Linked DNA regions of Sus scrofa. The protein of the gene in region 2 purifies or fractionates together with the protein of the main gene of each other region. This does not show direct contact. Links are inferred from orthologs where the notes say so. Each region holds a gene or a part of one and is shown on either strand. Other genes may lie near its edges. The genes, in order: ERCC2 and CCNH.

Region 1 (3,816 bases), on a different chromosome or scaffold from region 2:
CACGAACCCCACACGGCCACATCACCATTTGCTCCCTCCCAGGTCCTCTCTCAGTGTCTCAGCCACGCTCGCCACCCTCAGCGACACAGCGTGAGAGTCCCACACACTCGGGAGACAATCTCACACACACTCCCGGAGCTTCGCACACACTGTGTCCAGCAACAGCCCGTACACAACACAGGGCCACTCAAGGCTCTCACCCTTCAGGGAGAGGCTGTGGAGCAGCAGCACGGCTTTGGTGTCAGGCAGACAGTCAGGTTTAAAACCCGCTTCCTGAACCTCCTTTCCTTTCCTCCACGGTCGACCAGGTGCCCCTCTATGTTCCCTGGGCCCCCAGGCCTCCCCCCATCCCAGCCCTGGCACGTCCCTCTCTCACTGGACTGTGAACCCCAGGAAGGCAGGGCCAGGGCTGTCTCAGTCCCCACCGTGTCCCAGCAGATCAGGCACTCAGGACCATGCAGGCGGCGAAGCTCCCCGCAGCCCTCACAAGTCTCCCACGGCAGGGTGAAAGGTGAGGCCCCATCGAGGGCTCCCCGCCCAACCTCAGGCAGAGCAGCCAGGAACTCCGGAGCCCCACAGGCCTGGCTTCGAGTCACAGCTACCCCCACAGTGCTGTGTGGCCCTGGGCACTGGCTTCCCCTCCCTGGGACACAGTGTCCCCATCCACAGCGCGAGGCGAGGACGCTATTGAGATCCCACGGATACGGAATGTAGCTTAGCTCATTGTCAGCACTCAAGATGCTAAGTTCCTGGCGTGGCTGCTTTCTCACCTAACCAACCACCTCAGGAACCTGGGAGTAAGGGGCTGACTCCCTGCCTGGGGCACAAAGGAGGAGACCAAGGTTCAGGGAAGACCACTGACTCAGGCAGAACAGCAAAGGAAAAGCCCAGGAAGCCCCACCCCCACTCCCGGGTCCATGCACCACCTCCCTGACCACTGAGGGGAGGCTCCTGCCCCCGGGGCTTGGGGGACAGTGGGAGGCGACAGGGGTCTGGGGGGCAGGATCCACAGCATTTTCTGCCAGCTCCCACCCTGCTGGGCCCATCAGAAGCCGCTCTCCAGGGCTACTCCCTCCCCTCCCCGTGTGGCCTGGGGTGGGATGAGTTTCCGCAAAGGTGCAGGGGCCTGGTCACCCCACCAGCTCCTCCATCCTGCACGGCCCCCGGGACCCCCGTGAACAGTCCACCAAACTCTCCTCTGCCTCTCATCTGCTGCCCGCCAAGCCCCTGCTGGCCCCAGAGCCCCCGACCTGCCCCCTCCGCCCCACGGGTGTGACACGCACTCCCCCAGGCTTCCATTAGTCCCCATACCGGCCCCGGGCCCACCCCCACCCTGCTGGACGAACCTGAGGGGCTTGCGCTGGATGCAGACGCGCTGGGCCAGGCCGCTGAGGAAGGCGGGCGGGCTCTCCTGCACCACGTGCTGCACCCGCAGCCGCCACTTGACGTACTCCAGCAGCCGCCGCAGGAAGCCCAGGAAGTGCTCGGCCGTGCGGATGGAGCCCGGCACCGCCTCTGCGGGGACACGGGCTCAGCCGGGTCGGTGGCGGGGAGGGGGGGTGCCAGGGGCCCAGCGGGGCGGGCGCGGGCACAGAGGCGGGGGGCTCACCCTGCAGCACCTCGTCGGGCAGCACGGGGTTGGCCAGGTGGGCGTCGGTCTCCCGGGCGGCGCTGGCCTCCCGCAGCCCCTCCACCAGGCGCCGGTACTCGTCCCGCAGACGCTGCTCGTCAGTCTCCTTGATCCTGCGGGGAGCCGGGGGATGGGAAGGGCTGGGGACACGCCGGGGACGGGGACCGGGGTCCTGGGGTGGGGGGCAGGGCAGGCAGAGAACCGGGCCTGGGAAAGGCCGGCGCCCCGCACCTGAGCACCGTCTTCTGCAGGGTCTCCAGGTTGCCCTGGCACCGATCCAGCATCCGGCGCGTGAGGTTGACACTCATGGAGTCGATGCAGACGTTGTCTGGAAGAGGAAGGAGGGGACGCCGGGCTCAGGCAGGCAGCTGGGGCGGCAGCCCAAGGGGCTGGCATGGCCTCCCAGCCCTGGCTCCCTCCTCACCAATGTTGTGGGCCTCGTCGAAGACGACGACAGCCTTGCGGGCCAGCTCCTTGGACACCAGGTCGGCGATCTTGGGGTCCAGCAGGTAGTGGTAGCTGTAAACCACCACGTTGGCGTGGAGGATCTGGGGGCCGGGAGTGCAGGGTTACCCCGGCCACCAGCGCCCACCTCGTGCTACTGCCCCCCGCCCACAGCACACGGCCCCAGTGCTGCCTGACAGGCCCGCAGAGACGAGGTGCAGAAAGGGGCTCAGGCAGACAGACAGACAGACACAGATGGGCAGGCAGAAGCGAACTGAGGAAAGACAGACACAGGCAAGGCACACACACTCAGAGAGACTGACTGACAAAGGGACAGACCGACAGGGGGACACAGGCAGAGGGACAGGTGGGTGGGAAGGCGTAACCCGCACGCACGCCCCCCCTGCGCAAGCCCTGCCAGCCTCCTCACCGAGTACCGGGCAAGGAAGTACGGGCACCAGCCCTGGCGCCGCCCCAGCGCCTTCAGGTCGTCCAGGTTGTAGATGCCAGCCGGCAGGGGCACCTGGCGCCCATGGACATCAAACTCCTAGGGTGACAGGGCACACAGGAGTCAGGGAGGTTGGCCGTGGTGAGTGGTCCCCGCCTCCCTCCCTCAGCGCTGCCCCGCAGGCACCTCATAGAAGCGGCAGTGAGGCAGGCTGGGGTCCTGCTGGTACTGCGCCCGCACGTAGGAGGCCGTGAGGCTGTGGCATTTTCCATCGACGTCCTTCCCAAAGCGCAGGGGTGTCACCTGAGGGGCCAAGAGGGCATCTTAGCACTGGGACAGGCCAAGGAGCCCAACCACTCCTGGAACCTGGGGCTCAACACCTAATGGCTAAGGCGGGATGGGGCCATCTGGCTGTCCTGTCCCGGGTGACACTGGGGCATCCGTGGAAACTGGAACCTCAACCTGCTTCCCTAGTAAACAGTTAAGACACCTGGAAACTTACTACAGGGAAGCAAGAGTTGGTACAATTGTTAGGCTCTTAAATTATTCTTTTTAAAACAGTAAGTCCAGAATTCCCATTGTGGGTGTTAAGAACCCGACTAGTATCCATGAGGATGTGGGTTCAATCCCTGGCCTCGCTCAGTGGGTTAAGAATCCAGTGTTGCAGTATAGATTGCAGATTCAGCTCGGATCTGGCATTGCTGTGGCTGTGGCACAGGGTAGCGGCTGCAGCTCCAATTCAACCCCTAGCCAGGAATGTATGCCACAGGTGTGGTCCTAAAAAGCAAACAAAAACAGTATGTCTTAGGGAGCTCCCTCGTGGTCTAGTGGTTAGGGTTTGGTGCTTTCACTGCAGCCTGGGTTCAATACCTGGTCTGGGAACTAAGATCCCTCATCAAGCTGCTCCACACAATGATCAAAAAAAAAAAAAAAAAAAAAAAAGTTAAGTCACATATGGTGTCAATTATATCTGAATTTTTTTTTCTTAATTACACCTTGAAGATTCTTTAGCAGGTAAATTACAGATAACTGCTTTATCTTTTTTCTTTTTAGGGCTGTACCCAAGGCACATGGAAGCTCCAAGGCTGGGGTCAAAGTGGAACTGTAGCTGCTGGTCTACACCACAGCCACAGCAACACAGGATCCGAGCTGTACCTTCGAACTACACCACAGCTGATGGCAATGCTGGATCCTTAACCCACTGAGCGGGGCCAGGGATCGAACCCACATCCTCATGGATACTAGTCGGGATTATTACTGTTGCACCACTATGGGAATTTCTGCTTTATCTTTT
Region 2 (3,816 bases):
TCAATGATCAGTACAAAGTATATATAGGAGTTTAATCTGTAATAAATGACTATTTTAAATAACTAGAGAAAATCATGAAATATTTTTAAATGGCTGATACAAGTTTACTTTGAACAAAAATTAGTGAGATTTCTACCTCAAACCAATCACATACAATTCTAAATAGTTTTAACAGCTAAACAAAAGGCAAAATACAGAGTAAGACAAGGTGTTCAGGTGTACGAGCATAAAGCAAAAGACAAGCTGCCTATGTCACAAAGTAAAAGAAGCAACAAAAGAAAGTAGGTCTATGATAAATATAAAAAGAGGAGTATATAAAAAGAACCATAAGAAAACAAGACAAGAAAGTTGGGCAGAGGTTATAATTATGCAATACAGAAGAAACAGGATTATTTGACATGGAAATATCAGTATCAGAATAATAAGAGAAATGCAAATTAAAATACCGATGTGATGATTATTTCTTCACCCAGACTGGCAGAAGTTAAATACTGATACTATTAAATGTTGTACAATGTGTATGAAAACAATGAAAAGGGAAAAAACCCTTTTCTAAATACATAATAGTGAAAAGCTTGGCAAAGATAACAACTATAAGTTACCTCTCGGGATGAAACTGGGATTTGGGTTTTGGTTAAAGAGAACTCTGGTTTACCTGTATTAAATTGGCTTTAATAATGACACTATATTACTTGTGTATTAAAAAAGATAAAAGAATTTTAAAGACCAAGAAAAAATATTTTATCCTAAAGTAGTGCTTGTAAGTGTGATTTATGGACCATTTCCAGCGTGCAATGAGATAAGTATAGAAATTGAGTGTGTGTTTAGAAATTTTTATAGGAATTTGATAGATTTATTTATGACTACTGAATCTAATAAAATTAAGCTTATTGAATCTAATAAAATTTAAGCTTATTTTTTTGTCATTTTCTTTTTTCGAGTAATTATTTGTTAATATTTTATGTAAGTGTAGGTCTGTAATGGGTTAAAAAGAAAATTAACAGTCCTTTACAGTTTGAGAATCGCCCTTTAAGTACTCATAGATATGCAGGGTTTGCTTAACACAGTACACTTGAAAGAAAGATGTAAACTCTGGCCAATTAGGAACTTTGGATTATGGTCCATTCAGTCACCTAGCTAGAAGAGTAAGATCAATAGTTGAGTGGTCTAATTCAGAGGTGGACAAATTTTTCTTCAAAAGGCCATATAGTGAGTATTTTAATTCTTGTACGGGCATGTAGTTTCTGTCACAACTACACAATTCTTCTGCTATAGTCTGAAAACAGCAATACACAGTATGCTAGATGGATCTATGTTCCAATAAAACTATTTCTAAAAACAGGTTGTGGCCCAGATTTGGCCCTTGGGCCACAGTGTGCCAACACCTGGTCTAATAAGCCCATTTCAAAATCAATGTGAAAAGATTATAAATCAGTACTGCAATACTTTCATTCATTAAAGTCAACATTTTTCTTTACTTTTGCTGTAACACTGAAACCCAGGAGTGAAATTTACCAATTTTAGGTTCTATTCTAAGCCATGTTTTGCAGTTACAGCTACAAATATAAAATAGTCCCATATTTTACACACATCATAAGTCCTGGGATATTCTCCTACTATAGCTTTATAGTTAGAAGAATTTGAGTTACAAGTACCTGATCTGAAGGCCTTAGAATTCTGGTCTGATGTCTCATATATTATCCAATAACAATATAGTCATCAATTATGGAATCAGAAACATCTCAAATGCATCTCAACTGTAAGATGACAGACCTACCTCCCACTAAGTTTTACAGAATGTGTTCCACAGAAAATATAAAATAATAATTTTACCATTCTTATTACCTACCCAGATCCCCAACTGTTTAAACACCTGAAAGGTGTAAGCAGATCTTCAAGCTGCAGGTGATAAAGAGCTCAAATATAGTGAATTCCACATTCAGCAACAAGTCAATAAGACGTATTACAGTGTTCCTTATGGATGCAACAAGAAATCTAACAGCACATTTTCCTATTGATTCTGTCTTCAATATAAAGTTTACCACTGAGAGAAAATATGCCAAATTTCCATACCCTAGCTAATAGAAATAAATCTGGAACAGTGTACTTGTTCTCCAGAGGAGATAACCAGACCTACAAAAAACCTAGAGATTAAAAGGACAAGAAGAGGTTCATGAATTCCCTAGGAAGACTCTGCCTCATGGGATCCCACAAGCCAAAGAACACGTTAATCACAGCAGGAGCAGAATTGACTATAAAAAGCCAAATTCTTTTATTATCTCGTGTTTAATCCTGTTGAAAAAAAATCTGATTTAATAGGTAAGTCAGTTTTACCCATATGAGCATTCACCAATTAAATGACATTTTAAGCTAAACACAATAATAGTTATATCTGTTCTAGGATAACAGTGTCCCATCTACTTACGTAATTACGTTAAGTGCAAGCTCAGGAGAGTGACATCTCTCCAACTTCTGTTTCAGAACAGCAACTTCTTCAGATCTGGGTGGTTCATATTTTTTTACCAAGTTTCTCATGCCTATATGTATATAAAAGAAAGGATCCACATCAGATAATGAAAAGTATGGTTCTCATAAAGGGGATGAATAATATTTTCCCATCTAGTTTTGGGAACAACAAAGAACACTCCTGAAATGTGGTTATTATTATCAGGATTATTATTTCACATTAGAATTCAATGAACACCATACTCAAGTTACTATAGCTTCTGCTGCTTAGCCCGCGTCGTGTACAGCATAACGATAAGCAGGCTTTGCTAGTCAGTATTTTTTCCAAATCCTACCATGGTCACTTTACTCAGTTTTAAGGCTTTTAAAAAATCCCTATATGATTTAGTAAACAATCTTTGTTCTCTACCACCAACTATATTCATAACATTCTGTCCTACAGATGGAGGGCCTCATGTACAAGGAAAACATTATTATGTAATATGCAATGAAGGAAAAATGCTTATAAATACCCGTCAATGATGCTTTGCTTTAACACAATGCGGAACCTATACAATGAAGCATCACCAAGAAAACAAAAATACCCTCCTTATGCTAAAAGCAAACTACTACAGTGACTAAGCACACAAGGATTCTCCACCTGGGCCCTTTATATTATTCAACTACCACAAAACAAAGAATATAAATCTCATGATTTTTATAAGGAATGATGAGAGAAACAGGGCTAATTAGCCAGCCATGTGCTCCAAATGAGTGACTTATTTCATAAAGCAAATAAAGCAGTGTTTGCATCAAAACCCTTGGGACAGTATCTTGTGTGTGAAAAATTATGAATAAGATAATACCATTCCAGCTCTGAGTTTCAGCAAGAGCTATTCTTATTTTACATTTAAACAAATGGAGTAAAATGAAGGTAAGTGTCAGCTATAAAATCAGCACAGTGGGTTACCTTTAAGACCTCTTGTACTTACTAAATTCCTGGATCCTAATATCTATGGCCAAATCACAATTAGTTTTGGAAGTGAACCCTCTAGTGGTATAACTGAAAACCTACAGTTTTCTGACTGATAAATTCATCACTCTCACTTAAAGAGGGAAGACCTCGAGATCATTTCCAACAAAGAATCAAGAAATGATATTTACATGCCCTGAGGCATTTTAACTTTTGAAACATAAAACATAAAAACACTGATTAACTAATGTCATCCAAGATCAAGATCTTCAATGTCATATTTTATTGGCTTACTCAATATTTAAACCAGAAATTTATTCATAAGGACAACTGGCACAAAACATTTTGGAAACAAACATAACTGACTTTTAACCCTGAAGATGTGCATAGTAGCCATG

What was found.
Region 1: the proteins of CCNH (region 2) and ERCC2 purify together in Homo sapiens (affinity purification with mass spectrometry; 3 studies listed by BioGRID and IntAct, counting the BioPlex papers as one, with this or other methods). This does not show direct contact. The link is inferred for Sus scrofa from reciprocal best matches to the Homo sapiens genes CCNH and ERCC2.

The regions. Positions count from the first base shown.
Region 1 is NC_010448.4:51,743,713-51,747,528, forward strand, and holds part of ERCC2 (TFIIH basal transcription factor complex helicase XPD subunit), read right to left. Parts: intron 2,826-3,816; coding exon 2,709-2,825; intron 2,622-2,708; coding exon 2,505-2,621; intron 2,179-2,504; coding exon 2,055-2,178; intron 1,959-2,054; coding exon 1,862-1,958; intron 1,744-1,861; coding exon 1,610-1,743; intron 1,516-1,609; coding exon 1,347-1,515; intron 1-1,346. UniProt on the Homo sapiens protein: ATP-dependent 5'-3' DNA helicase. Component of the general transcription and DNA repair factor IIH (TFIIH) core complex, not absolutely essential for minimal transcription in vitro.
Region 2 is NC_010444.4:94,994,340-94,998,155, forward strand, and holds part of CCNH (cyclin-H), read right to left. Parts: intron 2,538-3,816; coding exon 2,426-2,537; exon of another isoform or gene 1-2,425. UniProt on the Homo sapiens protein: Regulates CDK7, the catalytic subunit of the CDK-activating kinase (CAK) enzymatic complex. CAK activates the cyclin-associated kinases CDK1, CDK2, CDK4 and CDK6 by threonine phosphorylation.